Anolis sagrei: one gene and its partner. The protein of the gene in region 1 interacts with the protein of each later gene in a pairwise test. Links are inferred from orthologs where the notes say so. Each region holds a gene or a part of one and is shown on either strand. Other genes may lie near its edges. The genes, in order: RBBP8 and RBL1.

Region 1 (16,027 bases):
ATATCTGGTTTGAACTGGGTTACCTGAGTCCACACTGCAATATATTCCAGTTCAAAGCAGATAATCTGGGTTTTCGTTCAGCTATGTAGAAGGGGCCCCAGAAGCATGCTGCTGTATCTATAATTTGTTTTAGGGATTGAATAAACTTACTTATATTTTGGTGAAGAAAATCTGGTAAAATGTATTGGTAAGGCTCATATCTAGGTATCAGTTCTAACCAGAGTAGACTTGTTGATTCCAGTAAACACTTATGTAGGTTCAAGGGATTAAATGGATCTCTTGCGTCAGCCAGATTTGAATCCAGATCTATCATAAAATCCATTATAGACAGATCTGATGCATGCCATCTTAACTTGGAAAAAATTGGACATTTATAAAACAGGAACTATGATTATTGTATGTTTAGTATGACAATCAGATAATGGGAAAGACTTGGCTTCCTAGCAAGGGCTGAAATTGTGAATGATTAGTACAAATAGCTAATGCTTTCAGAACAGAGAGCTTTTCTCAGGAATGCACACATACATGCACAAATAATTTGTTGTGTGAATTGCATACAAACATATCTGTTACATGCACGAGACATTTCTTGTGCCACAATGTTTACATACATACAGTGTGTCCCCAAAATGTATGCCTCCTTAACACTTTATACCTGTGGTTCTCAACTTGTGGGTTCCCGGGTGTTTTAGCCTACAACTCCCAGAAATCCCAACCAGTTTACCAACTGTTAGGATTTCTGGGAGTTGAAGACCAAAACATCTAGGGACCCACAGGTTTAGAACCACTGCTTTATACTGTGATTCTGGATGTATTTTTTAAAAAATATATACATGCCTAACAGGATGAAGGATTAATTGCTCTTGGCCAGAGTGTATGTAATAATAGGTTTGGAAATACAGCTTCCATTTCTCAGTATTTGTCCTGTGTGTCATTGTTCAATTGTTCAGTGATGTGTCCTTTTTATGAATTATGTATCATTCTGAAATCTCTTGTCAATCTGTTTCCATGAAACATAAACCCTAAACATTTGTGTTAGAAGTCTTGGACTAAACCAGACAATCTTGTGGCCCTTTAGGTGTTCTTGGACTACAGCACCCAGCATTCCTCATCATTGGCTATGCTGACTGAAATTGATAGGAACCGCAATCCAGTAGTATCTGGAAGGATGCATAAACCTCACCCTCCAAATTCAGGCCCTGAAATTTCAAAGGATGGCCAAAAACATACCCTGCTATACAGAAATCAAAAGCATTTAATATTTCTAGCTCTGCACATAGGCTGCAGTTATACATTAAGGTTAAATCCCATTGAGAGATCAGTTCTATATGCAGGATTTGGGTATTAGACAGTGGTTAACACAAATCTGCTCCTGGAGTATAGTTAGGCAAACCCCTAGATCACGAGCTAAACAGGACTAATATCCCAGTCCCTGTAAGGCAGTGGTTCCCAATCTTTTTTGACCCCTTGACCAGGGACTACTCTCCAATATTAGTACCAAAATGGTTATGAATCAGTTTTTTGTCAACTTTAGATTTGGTTTGGTTATTTAGAGCACTGATTCAGAAAACTGCATTGGATAGACCACATCAGCTCTAGTTTCTGATATAGAACATATGCCATCCAGTAGTCACCATCTGCTCACCCACAGAAAACTATATTTAATAAGACTTGGCACTATAAGAGGGCTTTGTGAGACCAGTCACTTTAGTTGCAACGGTGAGGTCATGGACCATATTTTAATTCTTGCAGACCACTGGTGGTCCATGAACCACAGGTTAGGAACCACTGCTGTAAGGAGAAAATGGTAGTGCTGGAGAAAGAGTGACATAGTGACAGCCTGTCAGTCTTGGGAGGGTCAGGGACAAATGTGTGTGCTGCTGCTACTGTCTCAATTTCCTCCCACAGCAGAGGTGTGTGTGTATATGTCTATAGAATGGGTACTGCCACCAGAGACTTTAATATAATCTGCTTTTTAAAACAAAGTAGCATGACAGAGATGTTTCTATTTCTTATCCCTGGGCTGATGATCCCAAGCAATGAGCAAAAAATGCTCTTTGGAACTGCAACAAGAATTCTGCAATTGCACTTTAACTTGACTGTCTTCCAAATATTGTACTTCAGTTACCATCAGCCTTAGCTAGTGTTCCCTATGGTGAGGGATTATGGAAGTTGCAGTTCAAGGTCATCTGTCAGATATACATTTTCCAATACTGCCTCTAAGAGAATGAGTTTTTTTCTTTACTATTCTTGTTTGTATGCAACCTGAATAAAATTATACTTTTAAGCTCTAAATTTTGTAAAACAACATGTAATGGCACATACATATGATTGTTTTAAAAAGATAGCTGTAAAAGGTAATAAATTAGACAACTTATAATTTGCTGACTTTTAATAGCACTCAGAATTGGCTGCCTCGGGCCACCATTTCATTTTGCTTTATCAGGGAGTTGGTTTCACTGAATTAACATTCCCTTTGAATTAGCATTAAATTAGCTATATGCAAAGTGCAATTGCTTCATCAGTATTACAGGGACAGAGACTACAGAACAATTGACGATGCTCCCTGAGGGACTATAGCATCTGACATAAGTGCCACTCCTGTGGCACAGAAGGTTTGCCAGCTTTTTGACTCTTTTCTCTGAACCACAGCCCTTCAATCTGCTGAGCAAATGGATAGAAGAATGTGTTAGTAGCAAAGAAAAGCACTGAACCTTCAGAGAAGGCCATAAATCTACAGGAACCAAAGCTACAAACACATTCAGAAAATTAGTCAGTAATGAACAAATTATTTCCGAAGTTAGTTTAGTTAATTTCTTCCCATTGCAGTCAACTTGTGGAGGGCAAAAGAGGAAAACACCTCTTTCCTTTTTTTTTTTAAAATAATCTTTATTCACTTTTCCAAATACATATAGTAAAAGAGGGGCAATAGTTAAAAAAAAGAAGGGAAAAAAGGAAAGAGGCAGGGAAGAGGTAAAGAAAGAAAAGCACGGGTAGGTAGAGGGGGGGGGGGTAATTCCTGAATACATCATGCTTGCTGGGTTTTAAATGTGACAGATGCTCCACCATAGAATCTCCTCCTCCTCCTCTATAGGATCTCACTGCCTGGTTGGAATTCTATTCTAACTTACCTTAAAGTAAGCCATGGTTGAACACATTGGGCCTTACTCCTGAGTTGACATACATAGGTCATGCTGTGGACTCTAGATAATAGACTGCAGTATAATGAAAATTTAAAGCATGTCACCATAAAAAGTTAGTTGAACATGGCATATGACATACTTTCCATTGAAGTGGGCAAGTGTGCAAGCAGCCCCCACATTTTGTATTTGTGGGTCCTGGGTATAAAAAAAATTGACTTATCCCCCACCACTAAATTGCTCTTTAGGGGGATATAGAGGGTTTTTTTCACAAACCTTTGGAAATTTGTGGATCTCTCACAAATTTGCAAATAATTTCAATTTTTAAAAAATCTCAACATGACTAAAATGCTTTCTAGGGTTCGGAAAGACTCCAAAACATACCCCTGTGTCCTCTACAGGACTTTACAGGCAAAATTGGTGTTTCCATGAGATCAGGTATAACAGGGGCCTGTCTCTCCAAGGTCTCTTGGCGGGCTAATGTGGCCTCTATGACTTCAACAGTTGCCTACTCCTGCTTTACATATGAAATGATTTGCCAGCACTATGGAACAGTGCAAAAGCAGAATAATCTTGGCATAGGATTATTCCTTTTGTTTGTGAGCAGTCCTGTACTTGGGTTTTCATTCACCTTTTTCCCCAGCCAGAAATATAAGAAATACTTAAGTTCTAATGAACCATGTAAAGTAAAGGAAGAAGGGGGTGTCAAACTGATTAGAGTGTAGAGCCAGCCTAACCTTGTTGGCTAACTTTGTAGGTAGTCCAAACCTCCCCCTCTCTCTCTCTATATATATATCTAAATATAAAACAATATAATAAGCTATATAGTAGTTTTGATAAGAGATGCAGTACTGTTATAAATCTTTCCTCATAAGCAGGTACTGTACCACTAAATTCAATGTGTCTTACTTCCAACTAAGCATATCTAGATTAGGCATGGGCAAACGTTGGCTCTCCAGGTGTTTTGGATTTCAATTCCCACAATTCCTAACAATCAGTAGGCTGTTAGGAATTGTGGGAGTTGAAGCCCAAAACACATGGAGGGCCAAAGTTTGCCCATGCCTGATATAGATGCTATTTAGCTGAAGATGGCTATAAGATGTGATCTAATTTATCCTTAACTTGGAATCTTACTGCAATATTATTCATCTTTCTTGCAATATTATTCAGTTAAGATTCACAACAGCTCTGGTGAATATAGTAGGACTTCTATATCAACAGACATAGAAGAGCTGTTAAAATTTAAAATTAAGGAATACATTAACAACATCAGAAAATTTAGTTTTTGGAATGGTGAAGATATATTATCCCATTTATTAAAAAATATGTGGCTTTCCCTTGTACACTGCAATATGCTGCTTAGTGCTATATCAGATGACAGACATTTGCATCCTCCCAAGGAATAATAAAAACAACTCTTCATCAGCATGGATAGCCACATATCAAGCTGACATTTCCTCTCTGGGATTATCCTGAGGTCTAACAGGCTATTTAGATCTATTAAACAGCTTTGAACCATATATTATTAACAGCCAGTATTTTACTTACCTCATAATTTTTTTATTTATTTTGTTTGAAATCCACTAGTTTTCATGAGAAGAGACCACACAGTACAGGATTTATCCCCCTTTTCCTGCTTTAAAGAGGAGATAGGAAGAGTCACTTTTAGTTCAAACAAAAGTTATTTTGTACAAACAGGCATGACAAAACCTGTCTTCATTCCTTTCTGTTCAACTCAGCCCAGTATAATTCTTAGCTTCAGAGCACAATCCTATACATGTCTACTCAGAAGTAAATCCCAATGAGTTAAGTGGAACTTGCTCCCAGGAAACTGGTTAATCAGTTACCAGATTTTATAGACTTTGTTTTCAAAGTTGTCATAATTCTGATTTGAACTTGGAAAATCACAAATGCATAGACCTCAATTTTAACTCATTCTTCTGGGGCTACAGATGAGGAACCTATTTTATTTTGGATATGATAGCAGTATAATCTCTATATAATAAAGGGACTCGTTTTTCTCCATGCAACTTATAACATGTGCCAGGCATCAATGTGTGGCAGGATATGTGAATTGAATCCATTGTATTTGTTAATGTGTTATGAGTTCATCTTATAAGAAAAGCATCATTTTGACAATCATATATTAAGCATTTTTCTTTATTATGTTGCCATAGTGAAACCAATATATTTACCACACATTTCACATATAGAAGCTAATATTACTATCTTGTATTCATTTACCTTGGCATTAAGTAATTTGAACTTACATGTAGGGATTGCACTATATACCAAGGAAAATTAAAGGTCTTACCAAATGTTTAGGATAACATTCTGGCTACCTATCCTTGCATGTCTCATGACTTGCTTCATGCTTTGACCTGCATTCCCACTAACGTGATGAACAGCCCCATAAGAGAACCACTAAATGATATTAGCAGGAGTCATATACATGATACAACATAATATTAATACCCAACTAAAGCATGCAGCAGTATATCTAAAATTCTTGGCACAACGTCTGAAGTTAAGGTCTTAAAATTGACTATTCAGCATTAAGGGAGACGTTATATACTTACCTTTTTGTTTTGATTGTAAATGTTCAGTCTGACTCTGCTCTTGAGCAGCAGTGGTGGGTTATTTAATGTTTTCTTCCCCTGATCATACCAGCTGGGAAAGGTAAGGCTATAAAATCACCCGTGGACCACACTAGAGAATGCTGAGAGGAGTTTTGCTGCAGCTCGGATATACACAATGTGCAATGGATAACCTAATATGTCTTTCATTTAACTGGCTGGGCAGGTTTCTGAATTCTCTGGAACATGGAATCATACCAGAATTTGTTGGCATAACAGGCCCGTCAAACTGGTTCTTGGGTAGAGCAAGAACCCGTCCAACCAGTCTGCATCAAAGGGCAGCTCAACATGCTGCGGCTCAACTCAGCTCTGAAGCTTCATAAGTGGCGAATTATTCACGCCTCCACCAACTCCCAACAGAGAATGTTGTAGCCTCCAGCAAAACAATTTACCAAAGGGTTGGGGAGTGCTGTATCCCTAACCATATCAAACACAGCAACATCCTATTGTTGCAAAGCTTTTTTATTACATTTCTAGATGGAGCGGTTGATAGATAAGCATTGCATTGGTCATCCAAAGAAAAGAAACAAATGCAAAGAAACCAATAAGAAAAGGATACTTCAATTAAACAGCATTTCCATTTCTTACAAACAGTACTCAAACTGGGATCCAAGCCTGAAGTATTTTTAGATGTTGGTAGCAAAAGCTCCAGTAACCAATAGAAATAGAAATATTATGTTACACATACGATTAAAGTGCGGGCAACACAAAAACGTTGCTCTTTTTGGAGCAATGTTTGATAGTATTTAGTTTGCTATACAGAGTTAATGCAGGAGTGGCAGGTCAGAAGAGATGTGTGTTGATACATGTAAAACTAAGTTGCAAAACACGTTGAAGCATTGCAATGTGCTAACAGAAAGATAGCCCTAATTTCCAACAGACTGTATCCTATTAAGGTTTTACAAGCATCCATTGTTTGTAGCATTCCAGAAGGCCCTTGTAACTTTAATTTTAAGTAGAGATCCAATTCCTAATGAAATTCAGTTTTCTCATTTACCGTTAAGATCAGGATTTGGTTGCTGTGAGTTTTTCGGGCTGTAGGGCCATGTTCTAGAAGCATTCTTTCCTGGTGTTTTGCCCACATCTATGCCAGGCATCTTCAGAGGTGATGAGGTCTGAGGATGCCTTCCATACATATGGATGAAACGTCACGAAAAAATGCTTCTGGAACATGGCCATTGGCCATACAGTCCAGAAAACTCACAGCAACCCAGTGATTCTGGCCATGAAAGCCTTTGACAACACAAAGATCAGAATTGTTTGGTGGGGACACAATATCCAATGACCCCAGTGATTTTTACTTGTCTTTAACGGGATGATCAACTTGGTGGAAATGCTACTTTCAGTCATTGCCATTCAGAAAGCATCCCAAGCTCCGTCTTGAAAACATTTATTATACTGATCACAGCAATGAACAATAAGGAGCAAGAGTAGTACAGAGAAAACAGGGAAGAGAAGGGAAGTGAAGGAAAACTGAGATAGTGGAAGAGAAGGCAAAATGTACAGGGAAGGACAAAACAACAGGTGAGGGAAGGACAAGGATATAACCGTCTGCCCCAAACCAATTTCTCATAGGTTCTAAGGGCCCTTTCACACAGCCATATAACCCAGAATATCGAGGCAGAAAACCCCACAATATCTGCTTTGAATTGGATTATCCGAGTCTACACTGCCATATATTCCTTTAAAAGCAGATAACGCTGGATTTTATTCCACTGTGTGGAAGGCGCCTAACATTATTTAGCTGTATTGGAAAATGATCTCTTTCTTGTTATAAGATTTCAACAGAAGGGCATTCATATTTTCTTTTGAAGGGAAACAAAAAGCAGCAAGATTTTACCAATATTCCATCTTTGAATGATACTTTTAAAACATATTTTATTTTTCATATTCTATGAGAGATTACATGATCCTTATCTCCAGAATTGGATTTCTCCTGTGAGATGGAAGAACAAATTACCTACCATGCACAGTGCTTGCTGGATTATCATGTTAATTTCCCTTTGAAGCTTATATCACCAGATAAAAATGCCCATCAATGTAAAAGACCTGCCTGGACAGCTGCAGCTACATCTATACTATAGAATTAAGACAGCTTGACACCACTTTTACTGCCATGGCTCAATGCCATAAAATTGTGGGATTTATAGTTTGGTGAAGCACTGTTTGGCAAAGAAGACTACAACTCCTATGACTCCATAGCATTGAGCCATGGCAGTGAAAGTGGTGTCAGGCTACATTAATTTTACAGTGTAGATGCAGCTTCACAGTATTACAATAAAGATCTTCAAATGTACCAGATATCATGGACTGGTTTTTTTCATTCAGATACACTTGGGAAAAAAGTGACAAAAGGTATTGGCTCACATATCTAGCTCTAACATGAAAATTTTAATTATACTTTCCAAATGATTAGTTGTTGGAACATACTAAATTACCGGTTCAGCTAACTTTGGATCATGCTGTCATCATTTCATCAACCTTAGCAGAATTTTTTCCAGGTGTGGAAGGAAAAAAGTCTAATTAAATCATTTGTGTTGAAATGCAAATATTAACATAGCATACAGTCAAGGTTGTAGGTTGCAAATGATTTAGAGAATGGAAACAAACCCAAAAGAAGCTACAGAGAGTAGAACAGTTCTAATGGTACAACAGATGTGCAGCGTTTACATTACAGCCATACGACCTCAGGCTATTGTTTTCAGAATTGAGCTCGGTCAGTAGACCTGAACAGAAGAGTTTCAGTTATATGTGGTGTAGGAAATGGTTTTGATGATGTAGACAGGCTTACAATGAGTAGGATTAAAGTCATACTGCATATCATGAAGAAGAGTACTGATTGCTGGAGGTGTTCTTTATAATTAAATATAGTGTTCAAGGACCAGGCTATATATTAATAAGTTTGATTATCAAAAATAGTTTTGAAAGGGGGCAATTTAGAAAAAAAGTATATGCCAACGTTTCTCAAAGTGGGGACCCCGGGGGGGGGGTCATGAGGGGGTTTCCGGGGGGGGGGGTCACCAAAGACCATCAAAAAACACATATTTCTGATGGTCTTACGAACCCCTTTGACAAAGAAGGCTGAAGATCTCTCCACCTGTCCTTCTCTTCCTTTTTGGAAACAGATAGAAAATGCTCTCACCAAAAGCCCTCCTCCTCCTGTGATTGGCCGGACTCTCAGCTGGCCTCTCAGCCAAGGGAAGGTCTGTTTCTGAGACTCCAAGTGGGGAGAGGAGAGCAGGTATGCTCTCCCCTAAATCACTGTCAATTCCTCCCAAATCCCTCCAGTATTTTCTGGTCATGGGAGTTCTGTGTGCCAAGTTTGGTTCAATTTCATCATTGGTGGAGTTAAGAATGCTTTTTATTGTAGGTGAACTATAAATTCCAGCAACTACAACTCCCAAATGACAAAATCAATGCCCCTTAAACCTCACCAGTATTCAAATTTGGGTATATCGGGTATTTGTGCCAAATTTGGTCCAGTGAATGAAAATACATCCTACATATCAGATATTTACGTTACGATTCATAAGAGTAGCAAAATTACAGTCATGAAGTAGCAACGAAAATAATTTTATGGTTGGGGGTCACCTTAACATGAGGAATTGTATTAAGGGGTTATGGCATTAGGAAGGTTGAGAACCACTGGTATATACAGGACATGTTAAGGTGAAGTAGATGCATCATTAACCCTCTCCTTCTTATAATTTTGCTACTCAAACTTTCCTCTCTCCAAAGAAATTTTCTCCTGGATTCCAGATGTGTTTTCTAGCATAAATTTGTCTCTGGCAAAAGTTCACTCCGAAAGTTGCTGCTTGATTCTTTCATTCTCTCACTTTTTTCATTTTATGCTATAACAAAGTAACACGACTATTTTTTAAAGGAACTACTGGTAGGTGAAGAAAAATCAAAGTTCATATTGCTACCTTTTTAATGTAAATTTGCCCTTTCCCATACTGCTTTTCTGTTCACAACTACAATGGTGACCAGGGTTTTAGAACACGTTTGCATGCTCTTGACCTTTAAATAATGTATTTTTATTCCCAAAGAAAGGCAATGAAAATGAGTACAATATAGGTAGTGATAACCATCAAAAACAGGATTTTAAACACACATGCTTGCAAGCTCCTAACCCTTAAATAATGCCTTTCTTATGGAATAAAAAATACAGTGAAAATGATTGCAACATAGGTAGTGTTAATCATAAAAACATTTAGAGACAATTTACTCTGTCTTGCCTATTTCATTAACCTGTTTGTTAGTAAGATTTTGATGATATTGTGTTATGGTGTTACTCACTGGTTGATAGTGGAGAAGTTCTGATCAAACCATTTCCTATAATCCCTGTTGTTGACAGGTTTTCCTTAATTATTTCACTACACGCGAAATCCATGAATTCATTTTTGTGCTTAGCACGTTGTGCTTAGCGAGCACTTCATTTTATAGAGCAACACAGCAATGTGTCTTAAGGTGAAAGAGTTTGAATTTCACAATCTTTCTTAAAGAAGCAGCAGCTGACACAGGTGCTGACTTGCTCCTTTGGTAAATGTATGCACAAACATTCAAGGTTTTATTATAAAAATGCACAATACAATATTGAAATATGTCCAGAAGCTTTATGAACAAATCTGTGGAGTCTCAGGGTGGATCTAGACAGCTCTTTTACTGCGGGAGTTACCGCAATAAAAAAGGGGCTGTCCAGGTGACGTCCTGGACAAACTTGCATTAATCTCCCACAAACCAGGAAAACCCTGGTTTGTGGTAAATTGATTTGATAGTGGGTTTATTCCACACTTTCTTGGAAGACACAGGACAAACCCACTACTTCTGGTGTCTGGACAGCAGAATACTGTCCAGACAGTATTCCCACAGTTTTCCAGGCTAAATTAGCCTGGAAAATTGTGGGAATACCAACCCCTCCTCAAAAGCCCTCTAAAGAGAGAAAAGAACTCACCCAGCCTCCATGGGACAGCTGCTGGAATTCTACTGGTGTGTACAAATGACATGCCAGGAGAAAGGGGGGTGGAGGAGGAAAATCACTCCTGCCCCCCCTTCTCCTGGCATATCATTTGTACACATCAGAAAGTGCGTGTGGATGGGGTCCCTGTATGGAAAGGCCCTCAGGAGCAGGGATAAAATCCCTGAGAAGGTTAGCCAACACATATTTTCACAATACTCGCTAGTAGGACAAGGAACCCCAAAGCTGTCATTTGGACATAGACACTGATGAATTAAAGTTGCAACATTTTTATGTAGGAGGCAGTCTGGATTCGGAATTCTGGATTATGATATGTATCAATAGTATGTGTGATGTATTTTAAAACATATTTTATTAATAATATCATGGCAAAATACAAATAAAAGCAGGTTAAAAATAACAATATACTTGTAAAAATAAATAACCCTTGTTGATTGATAATTTCTTAGCCCAATTCATGCTTTTAAAAACATCTTTCAAATCCTACATGTGTTGGAATCTGCATTTGGTCTAAGTCAGGAGTGGGCAACTGCATATCCATCAAGGGCCAATTATTTTACCCCCCCCCCCCCCCAATGTCTGGGAGGGCACACCCCATCTCAGCCTTTCAATAGGAGTGATCCTAGATTAATCATTGAGCCTGGAACCTCAGGCTAGGGGAGCTTTTGCACAATTAAAACTTGCGTGCCAGTTGTGCCCGTACCTTGGGAAGTCAGACTTGGCCACAGTAGTCCATGCTCTTGTTATATCCCTAATAGACTACTGCAATGCACTCTACGTGGAGTTGCTTTTGAAGACTGCTCAGAAAGTTCAACCGTGATAAGATGACTAGTACTTCTAATTGCTATTTTGAGAACACATTGTGTGTGCATGTGTTTTGTTTTTTGGGTTTTTTTAATGGAGGACTCTGGTAGACTGGAGGAGGTTTCAGGAACTGAAAAGTGACATCTAAAAAAGTGCACGCTAAAACGCTCCAACAAAGAAATACGATTCTTTGGAAGATCCAAAAGCAGAAGATGAGAGAAGATGCAATGATAGAAAGAAGAGACTAGATTCACCAGCATTCTAGGGACCTCTTCACACTGGGTTTTTTGTGGCCCTATTTCCTTCTTCTGGATGGGGCCTGCCAAGTGCCATCAAATGACACTGGCTTGGTCCCACCCCTATTCCTCCTGAAGTGGAGGGGAAGCGTCACAAGATGCTTCCTCCTCCACAGACGGAGAGGAAAGTGTGTTTTGGGTAGCTCTGATGTGCTGCCTGATTTTTTTTTTGCCCTTTTACTCATTTGATGGGGAAAAGGGAAACGTGGCAACATGGGTTGCCACCCTTTCACCCATATGATAGGTCAAGGATATGCACCTTGTCCCATGCCCACCATATGATGGGGGAAGGAGGGAGAACATGTGGGGTACCATGTAGCACCCCACACATCTGCAGGTGAAATGGCATGGCCATTTTAGGACTTGAAAGAAAATAAATACTGCAGAAATGTCCTGTTTTAACTGAGCACAGCTGAAGATAAGTGCTGGTGCTATTGAAGTTATTTAAATGTTGCCATGTTCTTTGGGCATTCTGGGAGCGATATGTGTGTGTTCCCCAAGTTTTGATTTTTTGTTGTAGGAATGATAACTTCTATGTAGTCTTTGCTTTTGAATAATTGTGATGCTTTGCCTTGTTTGTGCTTTCTTTGCTGGCTTCTGATAGCTCTACACACTGTTTGAGAGAATCCAGCAAAGCTTTCTATGTTCCATGAAATAATGTAGGTCTAGGTACTTGCTTGAGTGATCACTTATTATTTTCCCCTCATAGCCAAGTTCACATACCAATTAACCACCTGCAGTGCTATCGAGTTGGAAAGCACAGCAATAAAGCTTCCTAGGAAATTAGATTTTCCTACCATCAGTGTAATTAAATCAACTAGAGAGAAAATGTGCATCTGGGTGTTTCTAATCTGTGCACAGGATGTGGAACACTGACTTTCATGAAAAGCCCAAGATTGACACTAAGTGTTGGATCAACAGTTTAGCTTTGTTAAATTTGAGTTCATGAACTTGCAAACCACCATCTGATATTTTTTTCCTCTGGAGTGACAGTGCTTGAATTACTGGGCAAACCACATTATTTTCAGGAGGAAAAAGAGGCTTGCTGGGGCAAAGCTGACCCATTCAATGTAAGTCTTACAGGAACATTGAGATCAAATGAATTCCCCCAGGGCTGGGAACTGAGCCACCGTGTCTCTCTCCGATTTTGTGAGTGCACACTCCATGCTGTAAAAGCAAAACTGCACCTGTTGATAAAGATACACGAGAAGACTAATAAATCCCCACTGTCTTTAAAGATGCATCCACTTTATCACATCCTGTGAAAAGAGTTGTGTATGTTCCTTTAGGTTGTCTGTTGATTTATCCCATACATTTTATTGAGTTTTCTTAAGTAAGGAATATTCAGAGGTAGTTTGGCATTGCCTTCCTGTGAAATAGCCTGCAGTAACTGTTAATCCTTGACGGTCTCCTATTCCATGTACTAACCAGACCTGACCCTGCTTACATCGAAAGATCACAAAGGAATTAGTGCTTTTTGGATCTTTAGACCCGTGAAAACAGACTATATGTTTTCATTAAAAAAAGAAAGAAGATCAGAAACCAGTTATGACTTTATGGGATGAAGAGAACCCAGGGAAGGAATCCACAGGCACTGTGATCCAGCAGATGATCTGGAAAGATATTCATCGCCTCTCCATCCCCTCCAGTATTGTCCTGAAGATCACAATGCTCTTGTGTCCCTTTCCTGGTTTCTACCCTTCTGTGCCAAGTACACATTATTGGAAATTCCATAACTTTTTGGAAGTAAATGCACCACAACCTTATTGAAAAGGTAAAAATGAAGTTACATCCGTTTGGCAAATGTGAATCTTCATGGACATATGGAGACCACCTTTTGAAAACCACTAAACAAGAAAAGCATGGCCTTGTTAGAAGTCTACCCTTTGAACAAATTATATTCACAAGTGTTCATGTAATGGCACACTGGTAACTCAGCTGTTAAACTGAAGAACCATGTCTTTAAACTGCCAAAGATAAAGACATGCACTACCAAAATATATTTGGTTAGCAGATGAGGATTGTTTCTTTGATTTGAAATTGCAGTTGTAATTGCCCAAAAAATACACCCCCTTGAAATCTCTTAGTTAAAGGTTTCAGAGATAAGAAAAAGTCTTCTTTGAAAAATAACATATCTTGTTTATTCATAAACAACTTGCATTAATTCACCATACAGGCACATTTCTTAATAGAGTTCAGTTTAAGAAAGATGTAGTTTCTTCTCTGTGTTGAGTACACAGGGTATTATCATCATTTGTCCATGGTCTTTAAGTATATCTGCACTCACTGAAGTCCATAAGTCATACTTCTCTACTAAAGTCCAAACAGCAATATGCATCCACCTCCACTGAGGTATGATGCAAACCGAACCCAAAATGAAGTCCTGTGTCTGAAGCCCCTCCTACACCAAAGAGGTACAGTCAAATTGGCAAACCAAAATGTACATACAATATAGGTTAACAATTATGTTGTTGTTCATTCGTTCAGTCATCTCCGACTCTTCGTGACCTCATGGACCAGTCCACGCCAGAGCTCCCTGTCGGCTGTCACCACCCCCAGCTCCTTCAAGGTCAGTCCAGTCATAACAATTATACACATTTACAAACAGTTAGTGGAGGCTTGGAAGGTTGCTATTTCCAAAACACATTGAGCTCAATTGAAGAGCTGACTGTTGGCTTTGGAGTGCTTGGTGGACCAAATGGTGGTTTGGCTTCTGGGTGGGTTGAGATGACACTTTGGAGCTAAAGGCGTGGCCTTGGGACTGTGTGTATGTGTTGGTAAACAGGAGGAGTAGGCAAGGTGGTTCTGGGAAACTTCAATTGTTCAACTGTTTCCAGTTGTTCCATATATCTTTGAGTTTCTATTCTTCTGCAGTGGAGGAGATCCTCTCAGAGTCATGGTCAGGCTGGATCATGAGAGCCTGAGAGTGGTTATGAAACACTTTCTCTGTGGATGCTGTCCTGAAAATATTGCTTGAAACCTGAATGATAACTCTGTTATTACAACAGAGGACAACTTAAATTAAAACCTATTATCTCCAGAACTGCACAGCTAGGGCTGTGTGCTCAAAAACTCCTCATGCAATTGTGGCAAACAGGTCTAAAACAGGGAAAGAAGCCAAAGTAGTTTGAAATACTGTTATAAAGATACAAGAAATACACCCATATTTCACTGGTTACATACAAGCCCTTGTTCATGCTTTCACAGCACTTTGGATTCTGATGTAATTTTCTGTAATTACATAATTTTTATGTAAATTCATATTTTCAACCTGGCCCTTATCAGATATGTGAAATCTCAAGTATAGCTTGTGGGCAAACATTCAAGCATTTAAACTGGCTCAAATAGTGTTTTTAGAGATGTGTGATATAATTATCATAAATCAAGATGCCTTACATCACTACAGGCATGTTTCTCTTGTTACATTAAAACTTTATGTATGATTTCATTATAAGATGTGTGTTCCAAGAGTTTGGGGTGTTTTGAAGGATAATACTTAAGGCACAATCCTGCACTCAAGATCTATCAGTATTTGGGAACAGGGTTCAGCAGAAACCTTAATATGTTTGCTGGGGACAGAGATATACTGCTACCCTTCCAACATGACATCTCAGCAACATGTCAGCAGAATATGCTGTTGGCAAAACTGTGGCAGTGAAGACACAGCAGTTTAAAATCTGAAATTCTATGGATTTATCGACAAGAGTAACCTCTCATTCCTGTCCACAGTGGGAGAGATAGCTTCAACAGTCAATCTTCTGTTTTTCAGCAAAGGCAGGATGTTTAGCTATCAAGTATGCTGTAGCCATCTCAAGGACTCAGGTTCCCTGCACTGGAATAATGACAACAACAATTTATTACCCATCTCTCCTTATGGCTCAAGGCAGGGTAAAAAGGTAAAGGTTTCCCCTTGAAATTAAGTCTAGTTGCGTCAGACTCTGTAGGGTGGTGCTCATCTCCATTTCTAAGCCAAAGACCCGACGTTGTCCGTAGATGTCTCCAAAGTCATGTGGCCGGCATGACTGCATGGAGTGCCGTTATCGTCCCATGGGAACGATAGGCAGGGTACAACATGGATAAAACAGATAAATAAAATAGGGAGATAAAATACAACATTGTTAGAATACATATAACAAGATATACACAAAACCAACAGTGATAAAACGCAGGTTA
Region 2 (16,107 bases), about 150 Mb from region 1:
GCAGCTGGCAATTTGGAGATTAGTAAAAAGCAAGGTTTTTCTACATGGTATCCCAGACTAAAGAGTGACCAATACTGCCAACAATATCTTCAAGATCTTACGTCACCAGTGTTGAGGAAAGCCTTTACAGCCCTGCGCTTCCAAACAATGCCCTCAAACTGGTTAGAAGGGAGATACAAAGGGATCCCCCATGCCCAAAGGCTTTGCATTTGTGGCTCTGGGGTTAAAGAAGATCTAACACACTATCTATTACACTGCCCTTTGTATAATGATCCCAGAAAAAATCTTCTGGGAACACTCCTGGAAGAAAGGGCAGCATGGCATGAATCGGCCGTGATCGGTGACTTGCTGGCAGATTATGACAAAAATGTAACACTAAAAGTAGCCACATTCGCAATTGCAGCCCAAAAGATCAGAGACAGAGTAGCAAAATCCTCGTTGGAGTCCAGATAGGGAAAGGGAGAAGGTTAAGGAGGACACATATTACTGTTAGGTTTCTGCCAGCAAAATTTTAAAGATCTAGTTTTAAATTTTGAATGGGTTTCGGTTTATATTGGAATGTGTTTATAAAGGTTGTATGTTATGATGTCATGGCCTATGGCTAGTGCAATAAAATTTATTCATTCATTCATTCATTCATTCATTCATTCATGCTGCTATCTCTGTTAACTAACGTTTTGTTCAGTTTTGCCTCCAGTGGAAGCAGAAAGGTTTTTTCAGCTGTTGAATCCAAAATCAATATAATTTATTTATGTAAAAAAAAATCACTTGATATATTTTTGAACCTTTTAAGTACTAACTTTTTATTTAGCAGAAGAACATGTACTTGCCCTAAATCCTTAAAATACAAATGCTATAAACCTTCATATATCTTGAAAGCCTTACTGTGAATGGATGCAGATCTCTCTCTCTTGAGTCTATTTGTAATATATAAATAAGGATTACTTGCCAGGGTTTGACTTGTAAGGAACAGGGTTGAGAATGAAATTTAGTTTGTCAGCATGTTCTATATTCCTTGTTCTTTATTTAACGTGTGTCTGAGTATGTAGGATTCTTTTTGACTTTTCACGTGTGATCCTTTGGCAGTGATGGAGCTGTTTCAGCTTGTTTACAGTGAGACATCAGTGGCTTTTGAAACCATAACCATCTTCAAAAACAATCACAAATTTCACATTTATTTCATAAACACACATAGATGCTTCATCTAATGTGCTATTAAAATAAAACTGTCTGTGCTTGTAAAAATTGATAATTAGATTTTAAAATCAGATTTTTAATTTAGTGCCTATGCTATGCGTTTTTGAAACTTTCACAGAGCCTTGCAAGAGATGTAAATATTTTTTCTAGGAAATCTATTTCTGATTGTTTTGCTTGACTTGCAACTAAACATGATTTGCCTTTTTCTCAGCATGAGCACTGTTTTGGCCTGTAGCTTAACTTTATTTCATATTGCATACCTTTTACCCAAGAAGCTACTGCTGTATGAACTATGCATCACTTTAGCACCATATGGGAATTACTGCAGTACAACTGGCTCTCCGTATTCACAGATTATTTATTCAAAATCCAGCCATCCATAACTTGGAAATATTCCTCTTTCTTCCCCTGAAAGAAAAATCCACAAAAGTAAACTTTGATTTTGCCATTCCATATAAAGGACACAATTTTATTGCACTATTGTATGTAATGGGACTTGAATATCTACAGATTTTTGTATTCAAGGGGACCTGGAACCAGACCACAGCAGATACCAGGGGTCCACTATACAATTTCGCTCATCCCAAATATCAGACAGTGCTCTCATTTTTTGTTTTTGTTTTTAATTTTCCATCTTTCTCCAACACTGGGATGCAAATGTAGTGTAACATTCTGTGTTACTTAGGTACAATTGTCTTAATTGATCCATACTAGACAACTACTGTCAACATGTTTCCATCGCCAAGGCCAGCAGACTCTCAAAAAGTTCTCTGTTACAATCTTAACAGTTTATGCATATCATAAATAGTAAATTTGCTGATATGTGTAATTAGCAAAATTAAATACCTATGGTCACATTTTTAGACCCTCAGATTATCAATTTATTTTTTGCTGTGAGAGAGGATGCTTTTAAAATTAGGCTTCTGATAATTTGCTTTAACGTTCCTTAAGAGGTCATCCTTTTAATATTCTAATGACTACAAGTGTCATTATTACTCAAGTCTGCTACTCCTCTCTTTTTTTAGAAAATGCAGGTACATTTGCATTATACTTCAGTATCAGGGTACTGGGTATTCAAATAATTATAGTGAACAACAAACCGACCAGCATACAAGGAGCTAAAATCCAGATGCTGGCCAGTTTGTTGAATGTAAAGTAATCTTAACAGCCAAACAAATGTGTTGGTACACAAGAGAGAAAAAATCCCTCTAGAGATTTTGTTTACTGTCGTAGTCACTGCGAATCGTACATTTGGTAATCTCTGCGCCTGCGGAGCAATTACCAAATGTACGCATTCGCAGGTGACTACTCAGGAAACTACAGTTACAGGTAAGCAACTTATAATTTCACCATATCGATGTTTGTACATTGTGAACAGCTTTAATTGTCCAGAAACCATTATAATAATTTAATATATCAATCATCCTCAGTGTTTACAGCTTTGTGAATTGTCTCTTCTCTGATAAATGTCCTTTCTTTTTGGGAAGTAGGATATCTCTGAGACATGACTGAACATGAGGTCTAGAGACCCTTTGAGTAACTTTGGCCAACATAGGAACGAGACATCCTATTAGGCTGCACATGCCGCGTTCCTTTAAGCCTTAATTTTCATTTACCACTAGTACCACAAATCAAGAAACGTATCATTGTCTTCTCTGCCATCTCAGAAAAATGGAAATTTATCAGAGATGAATGTACTTCTCACCTCTGTACACCTTATTACAGAGAAAAATACAGATTTTGGACTGAGCCCTTAGTCCATGTCTCCACTATGGTAGCCCTGTGGTAGCAGAGAATGATAGCAGTAATTTCTAGGTAATTTTGATCAGTAGATCCTATTTCCTTAAAATATATATATATAAAAGAAGAATGAAGATGACCAAATGACTTTCTCCAGAGGGGGAACCATGACAAAATTCTAGAAATTAATTAAAATGATCAAAGGTCTGGAGACCATGCCCTATGAACTGGGTGTGTTTAGCCTGCAGAAGAGAAGGTTGAGAGGAGACATGATGACCATGTATAAATATGTGAAGGGAAGTTCAAAGGAGGAGGGAGCAACCTTGTTTTCTACTGTCCTGGAGACTAGGACGTGGAACAATGGCTTCAAATTACAGGAAAGGAGATCCCATGTGAACATTAGGAAGAACTTCCTGACCATACAAGCTGTTCAACAGTGGAACTCTCTGCTTTGGAATATGGTGGAAGCTCCTTCCTTGGAAGCTTTTAAACAGAGGCTGGATGGCCTTCAGTTAGGGATACTTTGATTGTGCTTTTCCTGCATGGCAGGGGGTTGGACTAGATGGCCCAAGTGGTCCCTTCCAAATCTGTTATTCTATAATTCTATGATTTTTGGAAGCATGATACTGAGTTTTACACAGGTTGTTGCAAAGGCTAATTGCCTAAATTATTATTTTGTTGCAAGGGCTAATTGATTAAATTATTTTGCTGACTATTCTTTATTGATTAATTGATTGATTATATAATAAAATTAATTTTCAAATCAACAATTCTAACTGAGACATTTAAGGAAATATCAGACGGCCCAGCCAATTTACAATGAGGAACAAAAGTTCACAATTTTACAGGTTTCTATGTTCTTCAAAGATCATTTGTTTTTATAACAGTTCAACTTTTCAGGACCCAACAAAAGAGTTCCAGATGTATATTTAATTCTTAAGTGGAGTTTAAATTGCCTTTCTGATTTACAGCTCAAATAAAGCACTAACTGATTAATATGTCAATCTAACATTACATCAGGATTTTAAAAAGTTAGAGTCAGGGTATGAATATTTGCTTTTTCTGATTTAAGGGGAAATTTCAGGGTCCCTACTGTGCTGCACCATGATTCAGTAGAAAATAGCATGGATTTTTTTTTGTTCCAGTACATTAAAAAGCACATCCGTAAAATAAAAAATATTTGCTTTTGTCCTGACATACATTTTGAAAACAACGATTTGGTGAAATAATTTACAGTGTTTTAAGTGAAAACACTGCAGGTGAACTGTGTAAATTCTGCAGCTGGACCTAGCCTGCAGAGTATTTTAAACTAGAAGCAGCTCCATGGCACATTCAGATGTGAGTCACACATCCCCGGTAAGTGATGCCAGTTTCTAATGGAGATGGTCACCTTCTGAAATGCTGTTTCAAACATGCTATTTGTTCAGTTAGATGAATGAATAACTGCATGATATCAGGAAATAGTTAAGTGGCAGGTATGCATGCTTGTATTTAGCCATGAAGTGAGCACCTTATACATATTAGCACATTAAAGGGTTTGAAGAGCACAGCAATGCAAAAGTGAAGTGAGCTGCTCAAATCTATTGAAACAAAGCACAGACCTGCATTTCCTTGAAGACCAAGACTATCAGATATATTTCTGTGCTACTATCATACTTTTTTCATCACTCCCTGAGCACTTTTGCATAAAGGTGTGGCTGTTAAATTAAAATCCATTGTGTATTCAGATGATTGGTGAGACTTTCTTTTGGTTGTATGGAATCCCTGATGGGATAATAAATTTCAAAATTAAGCATCCTGTACAGCTAAAGAACCAATTTAAAAAACAAAAACAAACCAAGAGTGAAACCTTTTTTTCTTCCAGTATATTACATTGGAAAAACATACGCCTGTGAAATAGATAAGTAATTGTGATGTGAGCATATCAGAGCTAGTGTTAAAAAACAAACAAACCAAGTATAAAGGAATATGCAGTAGTTCTTCTGAAACTGATTTATAGCTATCCTAAGATATGTAAGAACATTGTTAACTGTTGTCGAGGTGACTTATGACGACATTCTGAATGAGCTACCTCCCAAGTCATCCTATCATCAGCAGAGTATACAGAACTGAATATCAGCCATACCTTCTCGGGGTGTGTTTAATGCTGTTGACACCGCTTTTAACTACAGTACTGTCAAACGACTATGGGATCCTGGGAGTTGTAGTTTTACAAGATCTCAACCTTTTTTTTCTACCAGAGCATTGGTGCCTCACAAAACTACAAACTCCCATGATTCCATAGCATTGAGCCATGACAGCTAAAGTGGTGTTAAACAGCATCAATCTTCCAGTGTAAACACATCCCTGTATGCTCCATTATTGCTTATAAGTTTGTCAGTAATAAGCACCCTGTAGGCTCGTCCAGATAGGTAATTCAGGTTAACATGAGAGGCACATATCAACTTAAATCCTTGGTGATATAAGGTTTCCTCAATCACATTTTACACACCACACAATTATAACGCTTTGATACCGCTTTGCAGCAAGTTCATGCTATGGAATTCTGGAATGGGTTTCGTTATTTTGAATTGCATGTGACTGTATACTTCTTACACAGGAGTGTAAGCAACTGAGTAATTACCAGCTACTTTCTGTACTAATATTTATTGTGTCAGCGAATAGAGAATACAGTTATAATGTATAAAAAAACACAAAGTTTTTTGTTGTTCATTCGTTCAGTCGTCTCCGACTCTTCGTGACCTCATAGACCAGCCCACGCCAGAGCTCCCTGTCGGCCGTCACCACCCCCAGCTCCTTCAAGGTCAGTCCAGTCACTTCAAGGATGCCATCCATCCATCTTGTCCTTGGTCGGCCCCTCTTCCTTTTGCCTTCCACTTTCCCCAGCATAATTGTCTTCTCTAGGCTTTGCTGTCTCCTCATGATGTGGCCAAAGTACTTCAACTTTGTCTCTAGTATCCTTCCCTCCAATGAGCAGTCGGGCTTTATTTCCTGGAGGATGGACTGGTTGGATCTTCTCGCAGTCCAAGGCACTCTCAGCACTTTCCTCCAGCACCACAGCTCAAAAGCATCGATCTTCCTTCGCTCAGCCTTCCCTAAGGTCCAACTCTCACATCCGTAGGTTACTACAGAGAATACCATGGCTTTGACTAGGCGGATCTTTGTTGCCAGTCTGATGTCTCTACTCTTTACTATTTTATCAAGATTGGACATTGCTCTCCTCCCAAGAAGTAAGCGTCTTCTGATTTCCTGGCCACAGTCTGCATCTGCAGTAATATTTGCGCCTAGAAATACAAAGTCTGTCATGGCCTCCACGTTTTCTCCCTCTATTTCCCAATTGTCAATCATTCTTGTTGCCATAATCTTGGTTTTTTTTTATGTTTAGCTGCAACCCAAACAACAAAGTTTAAAACTTGGCATTATACTAAATTTCCTTTGACAGGAAGCTAGCCACTTGGAGTGCCACTAGTGTTGCAGTAAGCAGGTCCTCCAATGTGCATGTGGCAGGGATCAAACTGCATGGTAGTAAGAGGTCTGTAGTTTGCTCTTCACACTTGCAGGTTGTGGACTCTGCTTTGTAGCCCTATTTCTTAAGGTTGGCTCTGCATCTTGTGGTCCCAGAGTGCATTCAGTGCCTTCCAAGCCAACCAGTTTTTTGTGTGCTTCGGAGGAGGTTTCTAAACCAGTATCAGCCATTGATTGACTTCCGGGTTTAACCTGCCACTTTTGGACTCTTGCTTGTTGAGGCATTTCTGCGACTATCTCTGTAGATCTTAGAAAGCTATTTCTTGATTTAAGATGTTGGCATGCTGGCTGATAATCTGTACAGAGGATGGGCCGGAGATGTCAATGCCTTGGTCCTTTCATTACCAGCTGCTACTTTCTGAAGGATATCATGTGATGCAGTACCGGCTAAACAGTTATTTACTTACTTAGGCGATCCCTTGTTGTCCGAGTAGGATAATCCTCCCGGGTGGGTCCATAGGTGACTATGGAGCCCTGTTCTTGATCTGCATCATCTCCCGCAGTGAGGGCATTGGTTTCCAGGTGGAAGGTGGTCCCGGTCGGGGTTGGCTTGACGCGCCTTCCTCTTGGCATGTTTCTCTCTTTCGCCCTCCATTCATGCCTCTTCAAATTCTGCAGCAGTGCTGGTCACAGCTAACACAGCTGACCACAGTTGAGCACGGCTAAACAGTAGACAAGAGAGATTTATATATCTGTGGAAAGTCCAGGGTGAAGAAAAGAACTGATCTATTGGATGCAGGTGTGAATTTTGCAATTAAGCACCTTGATTAGCATTGTAAAACCTTGCATCTTCAAGGCCTAGCTGATTGCTTGGGAGAATTTTATTTATGTATTTATTTACAGTGTTTATATTCCACCCTTCTCACCTTGCAGGGGATTCAGGGCGGATTACAATGTACATACACATGGCAAATATTCAATGCCATAGACACACAACATATATACAGACAGAGGCTATTTAACATTCCAGGTTTTCATGAGGGTATTCTAGCCACCAGGGGAGCTGTCCCTTCACAGACCATTTTGTGACACTGATGAAGTACTTCCTCATTCTTTGCATGCTTGCTGGAGATTTTTATGGCCTCGTAAATTAGTTAAATTTGCCTCCCCACATAAGCAGTACTTAAATTTCCTACTTGACAGATGCAACTGTCTTTCGGGCTGCAAAGGTCAACAGCAAGCCACACAAAATTGGTCGGAAGCTCACTCCGACCCAAGCTGGCTTTGAACTCATGACTTTTTGGTCAGTAATGATCTTAATGCAGCTGATTCCCAGCTAGCTGCGCCACAGTCCTGGTGCACCCTTTGTTGGGAGGTGTTAGCTGGCTCTGATTGTTTCGTGTCTGGAATTCCCCTGTTTTCAGAGTGTTTTTCTTTATTTACTATCCTGGTTTTAGTTTGACTTAACACCTCCCAACAAAGGATGCCCCCAGGCAGAAATCGGCCAGGTCATGAAGATGCAAGGCTTTTTAATGCCAATCAAGGTTTGTTTGTTTTGTCGTGTCAGGAGCTACTTGAGAAACTGCAAGTCGCTTCTGGTGTAAGAGAATTGGCCATCTGCAAGGACGTTGCCCAGGGGACGCCCAGATGATTTGATGTTTTTATCATCCTTGTGGGAGGCTTCTCTCATGTCCCTGCATGAGGAGTTGGAGTTGATAGAGGGAGCTCATCCGCGCTCTCCCCGGATTTAAACCTGCGACCTGTCGGTCTTTAGTCCTGCCAGCATGGGTTTAACCGGGATTGTGGCGCAGCTGGCTGAGTGACAGCTGCATTAAGATCACTCTGACCAAAAGGTCATAAGTTCGAAGCCAGCCCAGGTCGGAGTGGGTTTCCAACCAATTGTGTGTAGCCTGTTGTCAACCTTTGCAATCCGAAAGACAGTTGCATCTGTCAAGTAGGAAAATTAGGTACCACCTTAAAGTGTGGGGAGGCTAAATTAACTGATTTATGAGGCCATAAAGAAGACTCCAGCAAAGTATTCCAGCGGGGAAGCATGCGGGGAACGCGGAAGTGCTTCATCAGCGTCGCAGATGGACGATGAAAGCGACAGCTCCCCTGGCAGCCAGAAAAAGTTAAATAGCCTCTGTATATGTTTGTATGTCAAACATTGGCATTGGATGTTTGCCATATATGTGTACACTGCCATATATGCCATATATGTGTGAGTCCCCTGTGGGGTGAGAAGGGCGGAATATAAAAGCTGTAAATAAATAAATAAATAAATTGACACACTGCGCCACCGGGGGCTCCAAGCCAGGCTTGATGATGCAAGGCTTTTTAATGCCAATCAAGGTGATTGATTGCAACATTCACACCTGCCTCCAACAGATGAAGAGTTTTTTCGCCCAACCTGGACCTTCCAGATATATATACCTTCCCTTGCTTCGTTGCCAATATACCTCACAACCTTTGAGGATGCCTGTCATAGATGGAGGCGAAACGTCAGGAGAGAGTGCTTCTGGAATATGGCCAACCAGTCCGGAAATCTCACCGCAGCCCATTGTACTAATGTACTTTATCTACATTAGTCTGTTGTCCCTCCAAAAAAACACGAGGATAGCCCACATTTTATTAAGTTTCCAACCCTTCAACACCATCCCTAGAGACTAGGCTTGGGCAATCCATGGTTCTAAATGGTTCTAAAGTACTTACAAAACTAAAGTTCTGGTGATGAAAATTTCAAAACTCTAACAAAACTCTCAAAATTTCATTATAAATGGCAGTTCCTAATTGGTTCTGTCATAAAAATCGCCAATAATGAAATAAGAATTACATTTTGAAAGTTTTGTTAGAGTTCTGAAATTTTCACCACCAGAACTTTAGTTTTGTAAGTACTTTAGAACCATTTAGAACCATGGGTTGCCCAAGCCTACTAGAGACTATTTTGGAGCATGCTGCATAGAACTCAGCTCAGAGCGGAAGAGGAGGAGCTCAGGGTAGGCCCCGCCCCCGGTGATGACGCGCAGTCCCTTTTCCCGCGTTTGGCGCAAAGGCCTGTGGGGCATGGCTTGGGCTGAGTGGAGGAGCCGTGAGGGGATGCTCGGCCGCCATGCCGCGGGGAGGAGGAGGCCCGGGCCCCGCTGTGCCATGCCCCGCCCGTGCCGCCCTCGCCCACCTCTGCCAGGAACTCAACCTGGACGCCGGCAGCGCCGCCGAGGCCCTTCGGGACTTCTCCGCGCTGAGGGGCACCTACAGCCTCGAGGTTCGCTCGGCCTGCCTCTGTCAAGGCCTCACCGGGCCTAGCGCCTCATCACTGTCTCTGTCTCAAGCTTCGGCCCGCCCTCCAGGTGTTTTGGACTTCAACTCCCACCATTTCTAACAGCCTCAGGCCCTTTCCTTTCCCCCCTCAGCCGCTTAAGCGGCTGAGGGGGGAAAGGAAGGGGCCTGAGGCTGTTAGGAATGGTGGGAGTTGAAGTCCAAAACACCTGGAGGGCCGAATTTGACTCTCTTTGAATATTATCAAATTATGTCTTTATTTGGTACTAGCCGTCCCCTGCCACGTGTTGCTGTGACCCAGTCAGCTGATCTAGAAAATAAAGTAATTAGAAAGAGTTGGTTTCTAATACACTATAGTCTTCCCCTGCCACGCATTGTTGTGGCCCACATGGGGTTTCTGTGTGGAAGGTTTGGCCCAATTCTGTCATGGGTGGGGTTCAGAATGCTCTGTGATTGTAGGTGAACTATTAAATCCCAGCAACTACAACTCCCAAATGTCAAGATATATTTTCCCCAAATTCCATCTGTGTTCATATTTGGACATATCGAATATCCGTGCCAAGTTTGGTCCAGATTCATCATTGAGTCCACAGTGATCTCTGGATGTAGGTGAACTACAACTCCAAAGCCAAAGGACTTTGCCCACTAAACCCATCCAGTATTTTATGTTGGTCATGGGAGTTCTGTGTACCAAGTTTGATTCAATTCCATCATTGGTGGGGTTCAGAATGCTCTTTGATTGTAGGTGAACTATAAATCCCAGCAGCTACAACTCCCAAATTACAAAATCAATTTTTTTGAGTGAAGGACATACATTGGGTTGTTAGGTGTCTTGTGTCCAAATTTGGGGTCAATTCATCCAGTGGTTTTTGAGTTCTGTTAATCCCACAAACGAACATTACATTTTTATTTATATAGATTTAATTTCTTTATGCTTATGGGTCAACAGTATTTCTTGCCGTTTCTTTGTCCGTGTTGATGTGGAGAGTGTCTGGCTTGCCCACTCTGGAACATGCAACATATAATTGTCCTAATTTAGGAGTCCCTTTCAAATCTATGATACTATATCTGTGTGTGCGTGTGAATCATAGATATCTATATCTATGGCTGGATGGGTCTTTGTCAGGATGGCTTTGATTACGTTTTCTTGCCCTGGTGAAGGGAGTTGGACTGGATGGCCTTAAGTATGGGGGTTCTGTGTGGAAAGTTTGCCCCAATTCTGTCGTTGGCGGGGTTCAGCAAGCTCTAAATCCCAGTAAGCACAACTCCCAAATGTCAACATATATTTTCCCCAAATTCTATCTGTGTTCATATTTGGGTATATGGAATATTCGTGCCAAGTTTGGTCCAGATCCATCATTGTTTGAGTCCACAGTGCTCTCTGAATGTAGGTGAACTACAACTCCCAAACTCAAGGTCAATGCCCACCAAACCCTTCTAGTGTTTTCTGTTGGTCGTGGGAGTTTTGTGTGCCACATTTGGTTCAGTTCCATCATTGGTGGAGTTCAGAATGCTCTTTGATTGTAAATCCCAGCAACTACAACTCCCAAATGACAAAATCAGGGTTTTTTTGAGTGATGGTCACTCCTTGGGTTAGTTGGTGTCTTGTGGCCAAATTTGGCGGCAATTAGTCCAGTGGTTTTTGAGTTCTGTTAATCCCACAAACAAACATTACATTTTTATTTATTTAGATTTGAGATTTCAACGTCGTTCTCTGTAAACCGATAATGTGCTTTAGATCATATTTACATCCACTTTGTTGATTTGGATATTTTTTTAAAAATTCAGGCAGGTTTTTCAAGAAGGAGGTTTCTACGTTCATGTCAGGGAATGCTGTGGTTTTATATGTTTATGGATTTAAGGTGGCTGTGATTGTGCAGCAGGTCAAATTAAAATTATGTTGTATATCATAATTTAAACTATTTTAAACAACATCACTCATCATACTTCCAATGCATTTACACTACTCAGACTCTTTTATTATGTTAAATGTGTATGATGAGATGTATTTATGATAAAATGGTTATTATTTAAGTTTATCAGTTTATTGATTATTATTTTTGTTGATCTGTTTTGCTTGTTTGATATGGCATTGAATGTGTGCCATTTTTGTTCTGGAAACTGCCCTGAATCCCCCTGGGGAGATAGGACGGGTTACAAATAAAAATTATTATTATTATATGCCAACCTAGGAGTTTGAAAACATGCAAATGTGAGTAGATCAATAGGTACAGCTCCGGCAGGAAGGTAACAGTACTCCATGCAGTCATGCCGGCCACATGACCTTGGAGGTGTCAATGGACAGTACTGGCTCTTCGGCTTAGAAATGGAGATGAGCACCCCCACCCTCCGAATCGGACTCAACTGACATGTCAAGAGGAAACCTTTACTTTTATGGATTTAATCTGAATTGTTTTTAATATGAATAATGTATAATTCTGTTTTAATATTTGTATATTTTAAATTGTGTGCTGATGTTTTTATGTATGGAGTCCCCTGCAGGAGAGATAAATAGGGGTATAAATATATAATAATAATAATAATAATAATAATAATAATAATAATAATAATTTTCCCTTGGGTTTTGTTGGTGTTTACTGTGGTGTGTAACAAATCTTAAATTAGCACATCATAAGGTAACATAATAAGAAGAACCTTTATTTTTAACTCGCCCTCTCTCCCTGAAGAGACTCAGAGTGTGTTACATAAACAAAATGAAACGACAAACATTCAGTACCGTGTGCAATAATAAAATGAAGATATTTAAACGATTAAAGCAGGTTGAACGACTTAGGCTAAAAGCATATAAATCGATCCAACAAGTATCGTAACTAATAGAATTAAGCCGTTAAAATCTGTATAAAATATATAGCTCTTCGATAAAATAGCAGTCATTGTTGTTGACAACTTCGTCCACTAGAATGGAGTTGATGTATGTTATTCCTCCTCTCAATAAGCTAATGAACAGAAATAGGTTTGTAGTTGTTTCTTGGGGGAGAGGGAGAGGGGGTTGTTTTAATTTCTTTCGAAAGGGAGTTCCAGAGGGATAAGAGTGATCACAGAGAAGGCCCTCTCTCATTCCCACCAGTTGTGCTTGAGGTGGGTGGGATTGAGAGGAGGGCTCCCTCCACTGATTGCAGGGTCCAAACAGATTTGTAGACAGGGATGCGGGTTGCCAAATACTCTGGGCCTGAACATATCCTAAGAAGAAGCTTTTGATGGTAATCATTGGGAAAGCTGTCTTTAGAAGAAGGTGTTTGGATGTTTTTGAACCTGCGACCTTTCGGTCAGCAAGCTCAGCAGTTCAGCAGCTTAACCCACTGAGCCACTGGAAGCTCCAGTGTTGACTTTGCTTAAGTCCAAAATCATTGTTTTGGAAAATGTTTGTATATGAAAAGAAATATATAAGAAAAAAAGGAAGTGAGATTTTAACCTATACATTCAAATCTGCAAAAGTTAAATCCACAAACGTGAAGGGTCAACTGTATTTTTTCTAAAACATTTTGCAGATATTGTCACATGTAGAGTTTAAATGGTAGAATACGGGTTGAGTGCTGTTACTCTTGAAAACTTTTAGTTATTTATTTTTCCAGGGAGAAACTGTACATTGGCTGGCTTGTGCTCTGTATGTTGCCTGCCGTAAGAGTATTATTCCCACTGTAGGAAGTGGTTTGATGGAAGGAAATTGTGTCTCACTGACTCGGATATTGCGCACGGCAAAATTAAGGTATGGTCTTGGATTTTTTATTAATCTTTAGAATGAAAACAAGTTATGTATTTACTATTTTAAAAAAAGAAATCAAAGCAAACTAGCTAATGTGGAGAAGAGTACAGCCTCAGAGACAAAAAAAATTGAAACTGGAAGTTTTGAAATATTTGTATGCCAATTACACATTCATGGTCAAAACAGTATTTGAACTGAGCTATTTATTAAAAATGAAACTGCTTGGTTAAACACATGCATTTAGCAGGTGCTGAAGCATCATGAAGAATGGTACCTATTGTCCTTCTGGAAGATACTTGCAGATTAAATACCTTTAGGTTAACAGCTCCCTTTTCCTATTAGCTTTCCAAGCAATATATGTATGCATGTGTGTTTTGCAGAATGTGTAGCAATAACAATTGGATTATCATAATACATTATAAAACCAATCACATTATAGTGAATTATTATTATTATTATTCCACTTTTCTCCCAAGGGTGGGATTCAAAGTGGTGTAGTGAATGTAGTTTCATATTATATAACTAAATTATATTTGACTCTGTTACTAAAACAATTGATAAAATTAGATTGAACAAATGAAAGGTACTTCACTGAGTGATCATATAATGTTAGTTTTCTAGCTTCTTAACTTCGGCTCAGTAGTAAAAATCCCAACTCAATTAAAGAACGTTCGTGATAGCATCAAAGGTATCATTTGGAACAAGCAAAATTAACTTAGTTATTCAATGTAATTCCCCAAATCACAAAAGAAACCCTTGATTGAGTGAGATTACTACATCATTTGCAATATATACACTTTTTTTTGCTCAACTATTACTATGAAGAATGATAGGTTTAAAAAGTGGAGAAATTTCATGGTTGTTTTTCACCCTGGTATTGTAAACATTCAGAAAAACCAACATGATTTAAATACTGTTTTTAAAATTAAAGTCGCAGTTGAATTGGAAACACTTGCTGTTATCTACAGCAAACCTATTGAAAAACTATGAGACTGATTAGTATAGATGCAATCACATTCATTTAGATATGTCTGCTCTAGTTGAGGCAAAAAAATTAATTTAGCCTTATCTAGGTTTTTTTTTTCACTTGACTTTTTGTCCTAAGAATTGTGCAATGTATCTGGAGGAGAGAGATCCAAATTTCTTCATAGTCCTGTGATGTAAGTGGCTTGAGCACATTTATATTGGTCCAAAACAGAGAGTTATTAAAGAACCTTGTATGTTGAAAAAATCTAGAGAACTATTAGGAGGAAAATACACTTTAATGTTTTGTTTTTCTTTTAAGTTTAATTCAGTTTTTTAGTAAAATGAAAAAATGGATGGACATGTCAAATCTGTCTCATGAGTTTCGAGAGAGAGTGGAAAGACTAGAGAGAAACTTTGAAGTGTCCACTGTGATTTTCAAGAAGTTCACACCAATATTTTTGGATATATTTAAAAATCCTTATGAAGAACAACCAAAGCTACAAAGAAGTAGAAAACAGAGGTAATTGCTGTGCCAGGGGTACTTGGATACTTGGATTTCATATAGTATGAAAGAAAAGAGATTGTTTATTCTCCCTTGGTGTATGGAAGGCATCCAGGAGTAGTCTTGTCCTCCCACTCCTTCTGATAGACAGGTTCTCCAACTGATCAGTTTGAAGCTCTGGCCCCTCACTAATGGGGAATACGAACTCACTTTGGGGCCTGGCCTGCTATTTGCCTCCTCTCTTTTCAAATATTGGAGAAGAGAGCTTTGTGTTTCCTTCTCTCTGGCATTTGAATCTCTTCTCCTGTTCTCTTCTTTCCCTTGTTTTTTTTAGATTTTCTTTAGATTTTTTTTTATAAAAGGCTGTTTTTTTCTAATTTACTTTTTTTCTTTTTCCCTTCTCTGTTGTTACTCCTCATCTTCTTTCTCCCACGCCAGCCAATTGGTGCATATTTCCCAAACTTTCTGGGTTGGCAGATGGATTTAATTGCCTCTGGGGAACAGGGAGACAGACACATGTACAGCACACTGGCAGGAAACATGGGCAGACCTGCTTATCTTTAGTTTAACTGAAACTTGTCTTTCTTCCAATAGGCGGATACCCTGTAGTGCTAAAGATCTGTTCAATTTCTGCTGGACGCTATTTGTTTACACCAAAGGTAACTTAATCCCTCCCCCATGTTCATTTTGAATGTGATTTTAATTGTGATTTAATTGACCTAATATTGTTTCTTCTAAAGGTAATTTCAGTATGATCGGAGATGATCTGGTGAATTCATACCATTTACTTCTGTGCTGCTTAGATCTGATTTATACAAATGCACTTCTATGCCCACATAAAATAGATTTACTGAATTCCTCTTTCAAAGGTATGATCTTGATTTTCTCTCACTAAAATACCATTTTCATATATCTTTTGAAAGACATGTATCTTTGTGGGGGGAAAAACTCTTCTCACTTTCTGCTTTAAATAAAAGGTTTGCCAGAAGACTTTCACAAAGCTGACTTCAGGATCTCTGAAGGACCTCCATGCATTATTGCCACACTCTGTGAATTACATGATGGCCTTTTAGTAGAAGCCAAGGGCATAAAGGAACATTATTTTAAGCCATATATCTCCAAGCTCTATGATAGGAAGGTAAAGGCTATTAATTTATTCTCTGTTGGCAATTGAAAGACTCGTGTTTGGGAGACTATTCTTTTGCTGGATTTCTATTGTATTTGTTTTCAAAGAATG

Evidence for each region.
Region 2: the proteins of RBBP8 (region 1) and RBL1 interact in a two-hybrid assay, tested with the Homo sapiens proteins (2 studies listed by BioGRID and IntAct). The link is inferred for Anolis sagrei from reciprocal best matches to the Homo sapiens genes RBBP8 and RBL1.

What each region holds. Positions count from the first base shown.
Region 1 is NC_090024.1:59,989,773-60,005,799, forward strand, and holds the start of RBBP8 (DNA endonuclease RBBP8), read right to left. Parts: upstream 6,053-16,027; 5' UTR 5,720-6,052; intron 4,777-5,719; 5' UTR 4,689-4,776; intron 1-4,688. UniProt on the Homo sapiens protein: Endonuclease that cooperates with the MRE11-RAD50-NBN (MRN) complex in DNA-end resection, the first step of double-strand break (DSB) repair through the homologous recombination (HR) pathway.
Region 2 is NC_090024.1:207,657,736-207,673,842, forward strand, and holds the start of RBL1 (retinoblastoma-like protein 1), read left to right. Parts: upstream 1-9,439; 5' UTR 9,440-9,511; coding exon 9,512-9,664; intron 9,665-13,271; coding exon 13,272-13,405; intron 13,406-14,687; coding exon 14,688-14,888; intron 14,889-15,464; coding exon 15,465-15,529; intron 15,530-15,610; coding exon 15,611-15,739; intron 15,740-15,847; coding exon 15,848-16,008; intron 16,009-16,107. UniProt on the Homo sapiens protein: Key regulator of entry into cell division. Directly involved in heterochromatin formation by maintaining overall chromatin structure and, in particular, that of constitutive heterochromatin by stabilizing histone methylation.